Linked DNA regions of Canis lupus familiaris. The protein of the gene in region 2 purifies or fractionates together with the protein of the main gene of each other region. This does not show direct contact. Links are inferred from orthologs where the notes say so. Each region holds a gene or a part of one and is shown on either strand. Other genes may lie near its edges.

Region 1 (6,016 bases), on a different chromosome or scaffold from region 2:
TACATGGGGTCATAAAGGTGGGGTCCTTGTTTGATAGGACGGGTGTCCTTGTAAGAAGAGGAAGAGACACCTGAGGTACTTGCCCAGCCCTGCCCAGCGCCAGCACAGAAAAAAGGCCATGTGAGGGCACAGCGAGAAAGCAGCCATCTGCAAGCCAGGAAGAGAGTTCTCACCAGAAACCAACCCTGCTGGCACCTTGACCTTGGAATTCCAGACTCCAGAACAGTGAGAAAATAAATTTCTGTTGTTTATGCCCTCCAGTCTGTGGTGTTTCATTATGACAGCTCAGACTAATAGATGTGGGGGCTCAGGGAAAGGGTGCTGGGGGGGCATGGGGGGCACCACACAAACCATCCAGCATGTGTGTTCTTAAGCCCCTCCTGACCCCTGCCCAGCTGTGTGCAGGGCAGAGGGGCTCCCAGACCCCGGCCTCCACGAGCCCAGCCAGAACAGGAGCCTGCGGTCTGGACTTTTGCCCTAGCCGTGAGGAGACAGTGGTTAACAGTGACCATCATGGTGCCAGGAACTGGGAGCAAAGAACCAGTACCTGAGCCACTCCTCTAAGTTGTACTCTCTGCTGGCTCAGCGCCCACTTACTGGTGGAATCCCACAGCCGCCCCTCCAGAGAGGAGCATCTGAAGCTGGGAGAGATGGAGGGACTGCTATTTTGACCCCACCACCGGGGTAGAGGGGGACAAGACACAGGCAAAGGGGAGAGACAGTCAGAGCCTCAGAGAAACTAATCCTCTCCCAACAACCTCCGTCCCAGGAGATGTTGAGGCCCATACAAGAGCCAAGAGCTGGGGTGCATTTGGACAGAGCTGCGGTGAATGGTCAGCTGTACCTGTGTCTGACATCCCTGCACCTGCTCAGGCTGCAGGCCTGCGCCCAGGCCTCCAGACAAAGAGCGTGGGAGTGATTCCATTTGGAAGGTGAAAAATGCTTCTGTTGCAATCATCACAAAGTGCACCAAAGTGGCGGGCAGGGTTTCCAGAATTGGGCTGTGCTGAGTGGACTCCCAGCCGCACAGCTGAGCACAGAGCAGAACCCTGGCGTCTGATGGGGCCATGGAGGGCACAGTCCCACCCCCGGCTCATTACAATACAGTGAAGGGCTTGGGGAACATGTTGAGAGCACCAGACTCATCACCAACCCCGGGGGGCTGGACCAGGGAAAGGCCACATGTTTCAGGAAGAGACAGCAGGCAGCTGGGGGGAGGTAAGGTCCTGCGGTGTGGGCAGCCGTGTAGGGCATTGACGGTGGGGAAAGCGCTCCCCTGCCTGGAGCTGATGGGGAAGTAACTTCGGGCTGTAAGCTGGGTGTCCAGACTCCTTCCTGGGCAGAGAGCAGCAGATAATCCAGCTGCAGACCCTAAGCCAGCCCCTGCCCCAGCCACTCAGTCCCCTAAGGCTGCCCACACGCACGTATGCATGCTCATTCCTTCTTATGGGTGTTTGTAATGCTGGTCCCTCTTCTAGAAACACCTTTGCCCACCTTCTTCCACTCACACCACTGTGTCCTCATGGGAAGTGTCTGTTGGCAGGCCTGGCTCCCCCACCTAACATCTTGAAGCAAGATCCTTTTTCTCTCTGTGTTCTTGGACCAACAACAGTGCCTGGCACCTAGTCCTGGACTGTTGGCTTAAATCATGGTGAAGTTAGTAAAGGAAGGTCTAGTTTCTAATCCCAACTTCTGAGACACTGAAACAACTGGCCATAGCACTTAACTTTCCTGAGCTTCAGTTTATTCCTCTGGAAATGGGGGTAATGTTCCCTGCCCATATATTTGTGAGGATCAAATGAGCGAGCAATGGGATTGGTCTCTGGTGTGGCAGCAAATATAGGCACAGGGAGAGTTTAAGATGTCAGCATTGATGTTATAATAACTGCTCACAATGTTGCTTCGGATCATGACCTCCATCCTCTGGATTCCCCTCCTTCCTCCAGATTGTCCCTCCACCCCCCAGGATTGCCGGATTTTGCCCTAACCCAGTCCTATTATCTGCTGGAAGGTGAAGCCAGCCCCCCTTCCTTCCCACCCACTTCATCTCAAAGATTTCGTATGACCTCAGAAAGTCCTTCCAGAAGTCTTCCCCACATTCTTCCTGTTGCAGCCCTGCCCGCGTCACTCCTCATATGTCCTAAAAGCACAATCCTGAGTAGGAATCTCCCAGGACCCCAAATATCCTTTTGAAGTTGACATCCCCATTGCTGCTGCTCAGAACAAGCTGAGGGGGAGACAGAGAGGGAGGCAGGGAGAGGAAAGGTGGTCCCAGATTGGAGCGAGGGAGTAGAGGGAGAAACAGGAGGGATGGAGGTCAGACAGCAGGAAGGACCTCCCAATACCCAACAGCCAAGGGCAGAATGACACAACTACCCACCACCACAGCATCACACCATCATCACCTTCAGGGGCCTGGCTTCCGGAGGAGGGACGAGTGTCTTACGGCTTTCCATGACGTGGGTCCTCTGCCAGGGTTAGGGCTGTGGGTAAGGCGACATTTCCTGCCCTCGGGGGCTGGGGTGAGAGAGATGAGTTGCTGAGTGTGCACATCTTTTGAGAGCACATACACACACCCTGCTCCAGGGGCTCAGTTCCTAGCCTGGCTCCATGGAGCTCCCCCTGGCCCAGATCTGTCCCCAAGGTAAGTGCGAAGCCTGGATGGCGGGTGGAAGGACATCCAGACCCTCAGATCCCCTGCTGTCTCCAGGCCTGAGTTCCCACTTCAGGGGTGAAGGGCCCACCCCAAGCCAGAACTGGCTGGGCAGATGGGCAGGGAGCCTACAACTACTTCTCCTGGCGCCAGTCGGCTCAGCCCTGGGGACATAGGTGGCAGGGTCTGCTGAGCGCTCCTTAGCAGAGGGAGGGCGATGAGCAGAGGATCTGGAACATAAAGAGCAGAGGTCTGCCCTGAAGAGACACACCACCCTACCCCCTCGCTGTGCCCCGCACCCCACACCTGCGCTGTGGGGCTCTCTGCTTCCCCATGCCCATCTCCCTGCCAGCTCGTGCCTCCTGGACTCCTTACTCCTCCCCCTTGAGAGACCCCCAGTTGGCACTGTCCCTGTCCTCTCATCAGAGGCACACAGAGCTCCTGGGAGCCCGGGGGAGAGGTAGCCTCTCACCCAGACATCCCCCCTCTTCCCCATCCCCCTACCCGGACCTCTTTGTGCTAACAGGAAGTGGCAAAGCCCCTGCCCCTACCTTCAGCACCTTCCAGCCCCTGGAGCTGCCCCGCAGGAGCTGCCAGGACCTGGGCTTGCTCCAGGGGCCCAGGATCCAGGCCCTGAAGGCTGAGGAGGCCCAGCCCAGCCCCAGGGTCCCAGCTGTCCACACTGCGGTAAGGGGGAACCCGGCTGGCACCACTTCCTCCTTGGCTCCCCTCCTCCCATCGGTGAGGACTTGAGGGTAGATAAAGGCCAATAGGGGAAAAGCAGGAATGATCTGGGGCTGCCTATAGGGCTAGGGCATGGAAGGAAGGAGGGAGGGAAGGGAGATGGGGAGGGAGGGAAGAAGGGAGGAAGGGAAGGAGAGAGGGAGGGAGGGAGGGAGGGAGAGAGAAGATGGGGAGGAGGGAGGGAGATAGGGAGGAGAGATGAGGAGGAGGGAGAGGAGATGGAGAGAAGGGAGAGGGAGGGGAGATGGGGGGGTAGGAGGGGAGATGGGGAGTACCTCCTTCATTCATTGCATTGTCCCCTTACCATCCCTGGGATGCACAGGCTGAGTCTGAGGGTAACCAGGGTACAGGGTACCAAGTCCCAGAAGCAGACCTCTGCATCTCTGTCCCTGACTTTCACCTGCCCAGTGCGTCTGGGCCTCCGTCCCTCTCACCCATGGGGCCATTAGAAAGTCCTCCCTATGATCCAGCTCAGCCCCTCCCACAGGAGGCTGAGTCCTCCCTCGTTCTGTCCTCTGGGGTGAGAGGTTGTAGCATCATCTCCCTGATCCTGCAGGCCAGGGAATGACTGCCTGTCCTTCCAGAAGCCTCACACTCAGGTTAAGAGCTAACTGCTACTGGGTAAAAGGCCTGCAGGCCCAGAGGGAAGTGGGCAGAAATTCCCTGGAAAAAAAAGCAAGTGCAGCTGAAGAAGGGGTTTTAAGCTGGACCCTGAAAGGCACCTCCTGGGTAGTTATAGCCTAGAATGGGCAACTGGGATGGGGAGCAGCGGTGAGGCTGCAGAGGCACAGCTGGCTGACGGTCAGGAGGAAGCCCATACATCATGGCTAACCCCCCCTCCTTGAACCTTCCCCCTGTTTCAGGCATCTCCTCAACCCCAAGAGGCTGCCTCTAGCCCAGAGGATGCCGAGAAGGCTGATGAGGTGTTTGGGGAAGGAGGCCAGTCCCTGCAGGCCGAGACCCGGGCTTGGTTCCAGAAGACCCAGGCCCACTGGCTCCTGCAGCACGGGGCAGCCCCAGCCTGGTTCCACGGCTTCATCACCCGGAGGTGAGTCACAGAGGTGGCGGAAACAGGCCCAGAGAGGGGCAGGGCAAGTCCTGGGGCCCAGGCCCAGCAGAGTGTGGAGGCTGCGAGTCCAACCATGAGTCCTGGAGGCTCCCAGGCCAGTGTCTGAGGCATCTGTCCTGGAGGAGGTCACCAGGGAGGCTACAGGCACCCCCTCCCCCCGCTCTGGATTTCAGCTTCGGCTCCTGTCTCTGGCCCTCCAGACCTCATGGTCCCCCCCAGCCCCGCCCCGACCCCCAGATCTCCTGACCTTTCTGCCTCACCAGCCTCTGCTCTTCCTTGTCTCTCTGGTAGGCCCTTCCTCCTGCATCCCTCAGCTTTGCCTCCTCTGCTCCAGTTCAGCCCATGACCTTGGAAATCTACAAGCCTCTTGTCACCCCAGGGTGTCCTCCAGGATGAGGCAGGGATGAAACCTCTCCTGGGTGGGACCTCTGGCCCCTGTGTTCTCCAGGCCCTGCACCTGGGAGCAGACCCCACTTCTCTCTGCTATCTTCTTCACCCTTCTACGTCACCTGAGTCTGCTTGGCTGGGGGTTGGGGTCTGCCTTGAGAGTCCAGGACAGGCAGGAGGCTGGAGAAGTCTTCTCCACCACCCACAGGGAGGCTGAGAGGCTGCTGGAGACCAAGCCTGAGGGATGCTACTTGGTACGGTTCAGTGAGAGCGCTGTGACCTTTGTGCTGACCTACAGGTGAGGGGGCAAGAGCAGGGGCAGTGCCCTGGCCACCCCAGCGGGGTGGGCTGGGTGCTCCTGATGCAGAAAGGGCAGGGGCCAGCTGGGAAGGAGAGAGACCCTGGCCTGGGTGGCTAGCCAGGCCTGAGGTGGCTCTGATCCCATGGGTGCCCTCCAGGAGCCGGACTCGCTGCCGCCACTTCCTGCTGGCCCAGCTTGGGGATGGGCGCCACGTGGTGCTAGGCGAGGACAGCGCTCACGTGAGGCTGCAGGACCTGCTGCAACACTACACAGCGTGCCCGCTCAGCCCCTATGGGGAGAAACTCACCGAGCCCCTGGCCCGCCAGGTACCCCCAGCCCCTGGCCCCAGGGACCCTGGCCACCACCTCATCCCCCCCTGCGATGCAGCCATAGGTCTCTTGTCCACCCTGTGCCCCTAGGATCCCCTCGAGTGCTGGGGAGGGGTCCTTCACGGATGAGCTCAGCCACACAAAGACAGCAGGCACGTGGGGTCATTTGTGTTTTCAAGTAAGGACTATTTACTGAGTAGGGGCTACAGGGCTACAGCACAATGCTCCTGCTGGCAGGCCCTGGAAATAGAACCATGAACAAGACAGGCCTCAGGCCCACAAAGCTCACTTACCAGCAGCAAAGACAGATGAATAGGAGCAATCAAGTATGAGAAGAGAGGAAATGCAGAGTGAGTGCCACCAGGGCCTGTGTGGCAGGGAGCACACCAGGGAGTGCCTCCCCCCAGAGTGGTCAGGCAGTCCGAGGACACAGGTGCCAGCCAGCGATCAGGGTCTGGCAATACAGCAGGAACAACTGATCAGAACAGCCCTGCCTTCTGGACCTTATATTCTAGTGTGGAGACGGTGCTCAC
Region 2 (5,841 bases):
ATAAAGCCCCAGCATCCTGTTACCCTTGCTGCCCTAGATTGGGGAAGAGAGGTTGGAGGAAGGGGAGAAACTCACAGACCTCCAAGCTCTTCAATAAAGGCCCTCTCTGTTTCCCAACAAGGTCTCTGCAGTCATTTATTCAGGCCCAAGGTCACTGTGCGTCATCTGTAGCTAGGGCCAGGACTTCAACTGTGGGAAAGAAGGCCTGGGTTGGGGGTAGAGATGAACAGATGGATCCCCATATCTCTCCCAGCTCCAGCTCTGTCTCTCTATCTTATCAAGCTCAGAACTGGGCAAGAGCTTGAAATCCTGAATCACCCCTATGGAAGGTGACAGGTCAATGGGCAGCTGAAGAATGTAGGACCTAGTAGACCTGGGTTCAAAGCCAGCTCCACCTTGCATTTCTTTTCTTTTCGCTTTTTTTTTTTTAATTTATTTATTTGAGAGAGAGATAGAACAAGTAGAGTGGGGTGGAGGGAGAGGGAGAAGCAGACTCCCTCTGAACAGGGAGCTGGAGGTGGGGCTCATCCCAGGATCCTGAGATCATGACCTGCGCTGAAGGCAGACGCCCACCGGTTCACTGAGCCACCCAGGCGCCCCTCCACCATGCATTTCTAGCAGACCTTGAGGATGTCCCTAAGCTGGCAGCTGTTTCTTTACCTCTAAACTGGAAATGCTATTTCTTACTCCACAAGTAGTTGGGGATGTCTGAAGTGAGACAACACTTAAACACTCAAAAAACATGAACTCTCTCTTGCTGATCCTTGCTTCCGCCAGTGGTATGAATGCTGTTGTGCTGAAGGCCAGAGGGGCCTGTGCAGGGCTCTGGGTCACCATAGGTTTTTTTTACAACATATCTCCTCAGCCTTTGTTTCTGTGTTACCCTCTTTGTCTGACTTTCCAGCTCAGGCTTCCTCTTCCCCCCACCCATTTCCTGTCTCCCCCTTCCCTCTGCAGCTGAGGTGCACACAGCATCAGCTTCCACCTCACAAACCCCAACAATGCTCTGTGGGCTCCCCTCCCCCAAACTGCTCGCTAAGTGTGGGCTCCAGCAGTGGTGACTGTGACACATTTATACTTTCCTATGGGTGGGGCCAAGGCCCAGCTCTTGTGCCTCATAGAGACCGTCCAGAGTTCCTCATAACACTGATAACCTGGCACTTAACCTATGATGGGTGCCACCCTCAGCTTGGCCCAGGGGGAAGGGAGATTCTCAGCCTGCTTGCTGCTCCTGACAAGGCTTCTCTGTCCTGCCTCTAACAGAAAAGACCTGCCAGTCAGCGGCTGGCACCTGGGTGCCTGGGCAGGAGTGTTTGTCTGCCTTCCACCTGTTGCAGGAGATGGTGGCAGGCCCTACATGTCTAACAGGGGCTGTGACCTTGCCTCTTCCTGAATTAGAAGTGTCGCCCTGATGAGTGGGTGTTAGCCTGTCCTCTGCCCCCAGCAGGAGCTGTTAATCTGTCATTCTAAAGACACAAGGTGGTCTAGCCTGCTTGCTTAAACAGCTTGCTGTCCAGCCTTCTGTCTGTAAGAAGCTTACCCTCTGACTCTAGTAAAGTTGTTGTCCCTTGCCCTGAGATGGCATGACAGTTGCTAGGCAGCCGTACTAGCCTGACATCTGACTGTAGCATAGGATGTTTGGCTCCCCAACTATTTAACAGGGCTAGTGTTCTCTCCTCTGACTTGGAAATGGGGTCACCTTTGCCATCTCTAGACTGCAATGAAACGTTCACTCAGCTCTCAGACTGTGACAGCTGTGCCACTCGCCTTTCACTGAAAGCTAAGTGTGTGTCTGCTCACCCTTTGCTCACTGGGGTATAAAGGCTGCCCTTGACTCTCTTGTCCAGGTGCTCCCTGGGGGGCAGGAGGGAGGTTCCATCAAGTGTCCTCTCTTCAGCTCCAAGTGCCACCCTCAGGAGGGCCTGGAGATGGTTAGGACCCCCAGGGGCTGAGGAGTGGGGGGCTCTAACAGCAGGAAGCTTGGGGTGCCGGAGGCTTGTGGTTGGGCTGCTGGGGCCCGGTTGGCTGCGGAGCCCTCAGAAGGAGGCAGGAAGTCAGGGTGGGACGTGGGCGCGCTAAGACAGACGGTGGCCACCTTAGCAAGGGGAGCCAAAACCGTGTGTAAGCAGCCAGGCCAAGCCAGGAGGACCATGTGAATGGGACCAGAGGGCTCCCGGGCCGGGCAGGTAAGGAACACTGGGAACAGGGGTCTCAGGGCTGTGCTGGGAGCCTGACAGTGGGGGCTACACCTGGGCATGGGCATGGGGCTGGGCTCCCTGGGCATCCAGCAGCCCTACAGGCTGGGGAATAGAAAAATCTTGCTAGAGGTCAGGTGGGCCTCATACAGTTCAGCTGGATCACCTCTTGCCCCTGCCACACCGTCAGTCACTGGTCCCTACCTCACTGGGAGCATTTTCTTAGAGATCTGGCACATGGACTGTCAGGTATTTTAAAAAGGCCTCAGAAATCCCTGAGTTCAAGGGCACCTGGGTGGCTCAGTTGGTTAAGTGTCTGCCTTCAGCTCAGGTCATCATCTCAGGGTCCTGGGATCGAACCCCACATTGGGCTCCTCTGTCAGCAAGGAGTCTGCTTCCCCCTCTCCCTCTGCCCCTAACCCCACTCATGCTCACTCACTCTCGCTCTCAAATAAATAAATAAATAAATAAATAAATAAATAAATAAAATATTGAAGAAGAAAGAAAGAAAGAAAGAAGAAAGAAAGAAAGAAAGAAAGAAAGAAAGAAAGAAAGAAAGAAAGAAAGAAAGAAAGAAAGATCCCTAAGTTCAGCCCCTGATCCGATGATGGGTGAACATCTTGAGGCCCAGAGAAGGCAAGACCTCCCTCCCCACAGTACTCAGCAAGGCAGTGGCAGGGTCAGTCTCTGGGAGAGGGTGGTGGCCTAGGCTAGTACTACCCCCCACCCATGGGGCAGGGTGATAGGCTTGAGTCAGGGGACCCAGGAATCCTGTTGATTGCTGGGGCAGACCCCAGGGACAGGAATCGTCTGAGAGAGACAGAGTGAGATTGAGAGAGAGAGAGAGAGGAATCCCTCGGAACATCCGGATGGACACGTGAGAAGTGATTTTAGCCTCAGTGACCAGCAGCGCTGGAGAGGCAGAGGTGTCTTCTTCGGAAGCTGCTGGATACGTGAGGGTATGTTTATCATCTGGGATGGGCCTCCAGGGCGGAAGTGTCTGACTGGAGGTCAGGGAGTCGAAGGACAGAGAATGGGAAGGGAAGAGCAGAGGAAGGGCTATTTTTATCCGAGACTGGGGTGCAGTTGGCCCTGGGCAGAGAACGTCTGCATTTCCATCTGGAAAGTTGCCATTCCTGCCCCTGCTGAGTGTCATGGGATGCCCACCCCCTTCCTCTGGTTTCACCCCTACCCCCCACTGCATGTGTAGGACCAGTTGGTCCTACTGATTGCTGCTTCAAACCCCTGGGAAGTGGAGGCCCAGGAAGGCATAGTCAGCTACCTGCCCACCCCCTCACTTTCTTCTGAACCTTCAGTTTATGGGGGGCATCCCCATGTGAGCCAGACTTTCCAGGTTTCCCTCACCCTACCCTCCACCATTGGAATTTTTTTGACACATAGTTTCCACCTAGTCAGCAGCGTATCCCAGCCTTTCTCTTGTCCCCAAGTCCAAGGCTGGTAGCCTTTTGTGGGAACCCTCCCTGTGCTTCAGAGGGGCTCATCTACACCCTGGACTTGCACCTCTCTCATCCAGCATGTGCTGATAGATTACTCAGGGTCCCTTGCCTTCATGGCTCAGGGACAGAGGTTCTCCTCAAAGGGTTAAGGACCAAGTGATGGGCAAGAGAAAAAGGTGAGGTTCTCAGAGAACAGCCTTCCCTCAGGTGATCTGGAAGGCTCCCTGGAAGTCAACACAGTTCTGAGAAGGACAAAGGCCCATTTTGGAAAGAGGTTATGACATAGCCAAGGGCACTGTCCTTGGTTTCTGTTTCTTGAGAAGCAAGAGAATAGAGCAAGACCAAACACCAGACAGTTAATGGACATGGTATAGTGCAAAGAACATGGGTTTCAGGGTTAGGCCAACCCAGATACAGTTTTGGTCCTGGCATTTCCCTGAACAATATTGACTTCATCCTCCAGACTCCCAACTCCAGATCACTAATCTGTGAAGAGGCAATAATAAATCTCTCCCTTACAGAATGCTTGTGGGGACCTGTGACATGCCCTGGGTTGTACCTGACACATTGTAGGTACTTAACAGAGGTTAGGTAGTCCCTCCCCTGTAAATAGTGCACCAAAGGGAAGACTGTTCACACCCAGAATTACACCTATTCAGCACCTTGGCTGGCCAGTGCACCACCATTCCCTCACACTTGTGGTGTGGCTTTGCAAATAAGCTTGTTTCCTGTGTTTAGTAGGAGTGAGAACTCTAAGCTGAGCCACAGAGTCTGCTCAGCGTTAGATGAGAGTTCCCCACACACAACTTCACACTCACCCTATCCCAAACACGAGACATATCACCAGAAAATATATGTGTGCACGAATGGGCAGAGGCAGAAGCAGGTTCTATACACACAACATACACTGGATCTTAACAAATCTATACACACCCCCACAGGTCGGTGACTTCAAGGCCAAGCTCAGTTCAGTGAAAGCAATGCTGAGGGGAGCTGGGGGTGGGGGTGGGATGGGGGCCGGGAGGACCAACATACCATCCAGAGAGGTGGCCTCCAATAACAAACTTTGGTGTTGGCTTTAATGTAGCTGGCGCTGCATTTCCAACGCTTGCTCTTTTTTTCTTTTTTTTTTTTTTTTTTTTTTTTTTTTTTAATAAAGATTTTATTTATTTATTCATGAGAGAGAGAGAGAGAGGCAGAGACACAGGCAGAGGGAGAAGCAGGCTCCATGCACTGGGAGCCCGATGTGGGATTCGATCCAGGGTCTCCAGGATCGCGCCCCGGGCCAAAGGCAGGCGCCAAACCGCTGCGCCACCCAGGGATCCCTCTTTTTTTCTTTTTTTAAGATTTTATTAATTTATTTGAGAGAGAACGAACAGCGAGGAGGGGCAGAGAGAGAGGGAGAGAGAGAGAGAGAAGTAGACTCCCCGCTGAGCAGTAAGCCTGGATCCGGGGCTTGATCCCAGGACTAGAGATCATGACCTGAGCCAAAGGCAGATGCCCAACCGACTGAGCCACCCAGGTGCCCTTCCAATGCTTGTTCTGAAGAATACCAGTTCCATGAGGCACCTGGAAAGAGAATCATTCTGGGGCCAAATCAACATGGCCTCAGCTACAGACTGGCCCATATTAACTTCTCAGTCCAAGTCAGCTTGTTAGCACTCTGAGAGTTCCCCCAGAGAAGGGGCCTGATCCATTCTGTCTAACTTAGCGTTTCCCAAACTACTTTGGACACAGAACCCTTTTTTCCTGGATGACCCATTCCACGCCTACCTTTGAGACAAGGAGAAGAATGGAAGGGTAGGCTATGCAGTGAATCTCCTCAAATGATTGTGTCTCTTGGCAGAGTTTCTGCGTTGGCGGTGGTTTGTTGTTTTTTGTTTTTCAATTACAAAATTAGCACATGGCTGTCGTTAAAAACTCAAACAGTACAGAGGCATAAAAAGAAATATAAAAAAGCAGCCCCCTCTGATTTCACTTCTGGGATGTGTTCACTGAGAACGATTTGGTGTGCATTCTTCCAGATTTTCCTATGAACAGCTGCTGAAAAGGGTAGTGGTTCAAAGCTTAGTCTCTGGAGGCAAGTAGACCAAGGTTCAGCTCACTACTCCGCCACTTATTTGTTTGTTATGAGGCCTCACACAAATAGCTTTACGCTGTTTGTGCCTCAGTTTTTGCATGTGTAAAAT
Region 3 (5,670 bases), on a different chromosome or scaffold from region 2:
AGCATTTCAGTGAGAAGCCTTCCTTTCTGGCCAGGATGGAAGGTGTTAGATTGAGAGGCACATAAAGGGGGCCTGCCGTGAAGGACTTGGCTCCTATAACCAAAGTATAGCACTCTAAGCAGGGTTCATTTTCCCTTCCCTTCCCATCTCTCTAGCTCAGATTCTCCCCCAACCTTTGTGCCCCCCCCCCCCCCCCAGAAGATGCATCATTTGGGTCTTATCTGGCTTGAAATTGAAGGCCCTCCCCTGTCTCCCTCCAGGGCAGGGACAGTTTGTTGTGCTTCTGTCCTGTTCCTTGCAGTCCTCTTGCACTCAGAGGGAGCATTAGGGGAAAGCCCTGGGTCAGATTCTAGCCCCTTCCCCTCCATGCTTCTCTCCAACCCCTCAGGGAGAACCTTAGCACTGCTCTCACGGAAGGGAGCAGGTCACCCCTGGGACCTTCTCCCTTCCTCCCCTCCCTCCTGGCTGGCTGTGCCTACTGGGTGTAGCCTGATGCTGCGCATGTGGCAGAGTTTCCCTTCACCCTTTTATAGAAGTAGTGTGGTGCAGTGGAGAAGGTTTCAGACTTGGGATCGAGCATGCCTGAATTCAGATGTTTCTGTACCTTCTGCACTTATCATCTGGGGAGCATTGGATAAGCCTCTTAATCTCCCTGAGCCTCAGTTTTTCACTTGTTAAAATAGCACCAATGATATCTCACAAGGTGGTTATGAGGATTAAATGTGATAAACATATGAAAGTGTCTGGCACATGGTAAGCTCTCAATAAACATTGGTTGACTGAATTGAAATGATATGAAGTATGAGCAAACCTTTCATTCTTCATTTGTGTCTAAGTAATGGTTTCCTAGTATCTGACCTGGACTCACAGGTCTACCTTGCTTCCACCTGGCCATGCGCCCTACAAGGAGGCTGTGCCTCTCTGCCCTGTGGGCCCTGTAGTGAAGTGCCTAGGCTGTTGTCCCTCAGCATGTCCAGGGTTTCACAACAAAGCTGTTAGCATATACTGCTTTTTTTCGCAGGAGGTCTGGAAGACAATAGCTTGTACCAGTGTAAGCCCTCAAATACTCATTCATAAACTCAGAAAAAGAATATGTTAAGCACAGGCTGCAGTAGCCACTGTGTTAAATGCTAGGTATTATAGAGAACAAAGACAGGATCTCTACTTTCATGGAACTGATCTTTTGGGGAAAGAGTCAGTGAACAAGTAAAATTAATTTCAGATAATGCATTAGAAGGAAAAAACAGGCTGATCAGACAGTGACTGAGGGGTAGTACTTTAGATTGGGTGTGAGGGGGGCCTTTGAGCAAATGACATTTGAACTGAGACCAGAAGAGGAAGCCATCTGGGGGAAGCACATCCCAGGCAAAGATCCTGAGGCGGGAACTTGCTTGAGGGGCAGACAGAAGGACAGAGTGGCGCGAGTAAGGAAGAGAGGTAGTGATCCCTTCAAGGACCTAGCAGGACCTAGCGGAAAAAATGAATGAAGCCCAAAGCGAGGCCCCACCCGGCCCCGGGGGAGTGGACCCAGGTTGGCGTTCGCAGGGGTGGGCGGGGCCCGTGCCTGGCCCACCCCCGGGGGCGGGGCGGTACCTGGGGCCCTGGCCGGGGGCGGGGCTGCGGACGCTCCCCCTTCTCTCGGCTCCAGCCGGCGCAGGCAGCTGCCGCGGCAGCAAGCGAGCGGTGGCCCCGCGAGGCCATGAAGGTGAAAAAGGGCGGCGGTGGGGCTGGGACGGGGGCGGAGCCCGCTTCTGGGGCCCCTGGCCCGAGCGTGGAGCCCAAGCCCGAGCCGCAGCTGCAGGCGGAATCCGAGTCCGGGTCCGAGTCAGAGCCGGAGGCTGGCCCGGGGCCCAGGCCGGGGCCGCTGCAGAGGAAGCAGCGGATCGGGCCAGAGGACGTGCTGGGGCTGCAGCGGATCACGGGCGGTGAGCACTGGCGAGGCAGCGCCGCCCGCGGCGGGAGGGCGGGAGGGAGAGCGCGCGGGAGGGGGCACTCGCTGTGCGCCGTGCGCTGAGCCTGGGCCCCCGCCCCCTTTCCCGCCCTACCCCCCACTCCCGCCTCCCCTCCCCCACCCGGGTACCCCTCGCTTGAATCCCCTACCCTTCTGCCTTCCAGCCTGAGATCTCCTTGTACCCGCCTTTTCTCCCTTTAGATATTTATTTTCACCCTACTCCTATCTTTCTGAGGAGGCCATCCCCCTTTCCCATGGTGGAGGTGAGGCAGCAGCTGCAACTGTGACCCCTTCCTCATAGAGTCTTCCGAGCCCTTTGAGGCTTTTCTCTGCAATAATGAGGATGGATGCTGAGTGTATTCTGTCCTCAGTCCTCACCCTGGAGGCTAGGAGGAGGCTGAGCTACTTAGGTGACCTTAAGACCCTCCAGTCGCCCTGATCATTAAATGCCGTCACTCCAGATTACCCAGAGAGTCTGGGGCCATCCTCCAACCCCAGGAAAGGACTGGGCAGGAAACCTCAGTGGGTTGGCTCTGGGCCCTCTCAAGGGAGTAGGTTAATGCCCTCCATCCCCCTTAACCTGTCTTCTTCCGGGAGGCCTAGTCTCCCACTGTGGTTAAGTTTCTGAGCTGAACTGCCTGGGTTGAAGTCCCAGCTATGCCATGTAATTGGCAGTGTGACCTTGGGTGAGTAATTTCACCTCTGAGCATGTTCATCTGTAAAATGGGGGATAATGGCACCTATTATATAGGGCTGTTGTGAAAACTAATTTTCCGATTTTGCATAGTGCCTCGCATGCTGTGCATGCTCTGTAAATAGGGCTCTTTTGTCAATAGTACTGAAGGCCCCACAGGACTGCTTATGGCTGCTGCCTGGAGGCAGATAACTGGGCATTCAGGACAAGGGAGGAGGTTGCCAGGCAGAGAACAAGGGCTACGAAGCCTCATGGCAGAGGCAGTGGCTGAGCCTCAAAAACAGGCATTTGGAGAGAGAGTGGTCCTCCAATGTAGTTTCATTTATCAGAATCCTGCACTGGCCCCTCTGTGAGAGCACTGTTGAGACCCCTCTTTGGTGGAAGGGGGCAGGTGCTGGAGCAGACCTGAGCTCTGGAGCTGCAGGAGCAGCAGAGCCCAAGGCTGCCAGACAGCAGTGGAGGGGACTGTAATGGCAGGTCTAGGCCTGTGCATCTGGGTCCCTGGGGGACCAGCTTCTCCTCTCTGAGCCAGGCAGCAGCCATTCTTGGCGGGGCCCCCAGAACACTGAACTGCCTCGCCCAAGCAGACACTAGTAGAGGGAGGGGTCCTGGACCAGTTTGATGGTAGTGCCAATTGAGCTATAACTGGCAATGGCAGCATTTAGAATGAGGGCAGAACTTATAGGATGTTTAGAGGTCAAGCTGACCTGTCTGGGTCTTAGGTAACTTTAGAGACTATTTTGTAACTGTAGGGGCTTCCAGCCCATGTACTGCCATGTGTCTCCTAATTTGGAGGAAATCCGTAGTCCTTAGAGATGGGGCATCTGTGGGAGATGAGTGGGGGAAGGGGCTTCATGGGAACCTTTCCTCTATAGAAGCTGAGACCTGGGTTCCAGGGATCTCCATCCTGGCACCCCCTGGTCTCTTTTGACCCTAATCACACAGGTCTGAGGTTTGTTCTTCCTGGATTACCAGCCCTGAATCCAGCTTAGGAAGCTATTTGTAGCAGAGGGAAGGGGCGGGGGGGGGGGGGGGGCAGTTTTGTTCTGAGCCTTAAGCCACTCTGTCCCTTTATCTGCCCTGACCCCGGGCAGGCTTCATCCTTCCCTTGGCAGAAGGGAGGGTGTGGGTGTGGCATTCTGAGCAATGGGCATCCCACTTCCCTCACTTCTTCTAAGGACAAAAGGGCTGCTTATTCAAGGTGTAGTAGAAGAGACTGAGGGCGGACTCTAAGCACTCATTCCTGCATGACAGGAGAGGCTCCCAAAGCGAGAATGTGGAGAGGGAAGGGCTTTCCAGGGAGCTGGAGTCTGCTCCTTGTGCCCTGCACCTTCTCTCTACATCTTGGGACTAGTGCATACATTCTGTGAAAATAAGGTGTGTACAGGGTGAGGTCAGGGCTGCCCACATGTGTTCCTCTTCCTCTCTCCCCACTGTGGATTGTGGTGGACAGGCCAGAGATCAGGCCCTTCCCCAAGCCCTGCTGGACCTTAGGGTGCCAGGAGGCTCCCGGGAGGGCTTCCTGGAGGGGGCTGCCCCAAGCTTAGGGAAGAGAGAGTGACCTTACATTCACTTCCTCTTCCTGCCCCAGAGGAATAGGAGGTGGCCTAGGGGCCTGGTGGGTGATTTCCGGGCCTCTATGGGGAGGATGTGATGCTGTGCAGGCTGATAGCACCAGACCCAACAGTGTTTCTTTCTGTTTGTTGCCAAGACCTCCCTGAGCACTTGTAGTTGCTGGTGCAGAAGTGAGGGGTGGATCAGGCCCTGATATTCCTAAGCTTCCTCAGCCACAGCTCACCACTGTTCCTGGTTCCTCTTCTGGGCCTGAGGACTCCCTTTCCCCCATGCACACCCCCACGCGCACCTGCCACACCCTCTTCCTGGCTAAACTTGGTACTCTTCTCTATGGGGGTAGCTCAGAGCTAAGGCTGGGTAGATGACCTTCAAGCGGGTTCCCTTGGTTTGCTAAGACTTCCCACTTGGAGATCCAAGGGGATAGGAGCAAAGGTGGCCCCCTTCCTCCAATATTCGAGGCTCTGGGCTTGAGTCAGCAGAGCTTTGGCTAAGCTGCTTAAGGGAGCTGGGCTTATATAAGCTGCTTACGGGGAGACGAGGGGGTTAGGGGTGAGGAGGAACAGGAGTGGGGTTGTTTTCCTACCCTAGCACCACCCAGGTCAGGGAAGTCCTTGCCTGACATTCCTAGATGTAGCACCAGGGGCAGCTATGTGCTGGAGGTGGGGCTGTTCTCCAGGGAAGCACTGTGGATATCTTGAGGTTCTCAAAAGCAGGGCTGTATCTTCCCTCTCGTGCTGGGACTCCTCATTAGATCAGAGCCCAACTGGCTCAAAGTCACCAAGCTCGCCCTGGCAGGGCAGAGGCTGGAATAAGGCCGCGCAACTCCAGGATGGGAGAGAAACCGCTGAGAGGAGGTGATCTCATCTTCCACCTTTCTCACCTTGGCCCTTCCTGACCTCAGAGATCTCTGAGGAGAGAGCTGTTTGCCTCTCATTAGATCCAAGTGACAGAGCTGTGTATCCTCCACATTCTGGGTGCATCCTCAAGGCAGGGGCTCCATTCTCACTTTCTGGAAGGCAGTGTGATCTTTCAGAACCAGAGAAAGTAGTAGCTAGTCTGGGGTCCCAGCAAGGCTGAGCAGGGTCTTCAGGGCGAGTCCCTCTTTTGCTTAGCTGCCTGTCTTCCCTAGATTACCTATGCTCTCCCGAGGAGAATATCTACAAGATTGACTTCATCAGATTCAAGATTCGAGACATGGACTCAGGCACTGTTCTCTTTGAAATCAAGAAGCCCCCAGCCTCAGGTGAGTGGGCTGGGTGGGTAGGCTATGGACAGGGGGATGAGGTGGACGAGGGCTGTGAAGTGGGTTGCCCAGGGAGTCCTCAAACTGCAGAAGAGTCAGAGCAGTGGCCCTCTCCTCTTCTTTCCCATCTGTTTCTGGGGCTGGACATCTTGGGAGGACAGTTTGGCCCCTTCAGTCCCTGCCAGCCTGCCCTCTGCAGGCCTTCCT

Evidence for each region.
Region 1: the proteins of LCK (region 2) and SH2D2A purify together in Homo sapiens (co-immunoprecipitation; 3 studies listed by IntAct, with this or other methods). This does not show direct contact. The link is inferred for Canis lupus familiaris from reciprocal best matches to the Homo sapiens genes LCK and SH2D2A.
Region 3: the proteins of LCK (region 2) and UNC119 purify together in Homo sapiens (affinity purification with western blotting; 3 studies listed by BioGRID and IntAct, with this or other methods). This does not show direct contact. The link is inferred for Canis lupus familiaris from reciprocal best matches to the Homo sapiens genes LCK and UNC119.

Annotation. Positions count from the first base shown.
Region 1 is NC_049228.1:41,165,255-41,171,270, forward strand, and holds the start of SH2D2A (SH2 domain-containing protein 2A), read left to right. Parts: upstream 1-2,494; 5' UTR 2,495-2,610; coding exon 2,611-2,644; intron 2,645-3,179; coding exon 3,180-3,394; intron 3,395-4,260; coding exon 4,261-4,445; intron 4,446-5,061; coding exon 5,062-5,151; intron 5,152-5,311; coding exon 5,312-5,480; intron 5,481-6,016. UniProt on the Homo sapiens protein: Could be a T-cell-specific adapter protein involved in the control of T-cell activation. May play a role in the CD4-p56-LCK-dependent signal transduction pathway. Could also play an important role in normal and pathological angiogenesis.
Region 2 is NC_049223.1:68,359,187-68,365,027, reverse strand, and holds the start of LCK (tyrosine-protein kinase Lck), read left to right. Parts: upstream 1-2,028; 5' UTR 2,029-2,186; intron 2,187-5,841. UniProt on the Homo sapiens protein: Non-receptor tyrosine-protein kinase that plays an essential role in the selection and maturation of developing T-cells in the thymus and in the function of mature T-cells. Plays a key role in T-cell antigen receptor (TCR)-linked signal transduction pathways.
Region 3 is NC_049230.1:42,728,223-42,733,892, reverse strand, and holds the start of UNC119 (protein unc-119 homolog A), read left to right. Parts: upstream 1-1,623; 5' UTR 1,624-1,699; coding exon 1,700-1,925; intron 1,926-5,349; coding exon 5,350-5,463; intron 5,464-5,670. UniProt on the Homo sapiens protein: Involved in synaptic functions in photoreceptor cells, the signal transduction in immune cells as a Src family kinase activator, endosome recycling, the uptake of bacteria and endocytosis, protein trafficking in sensory neurons and as lipid-binding chaperone with specificity for a diverse subset of myristoylated proteins.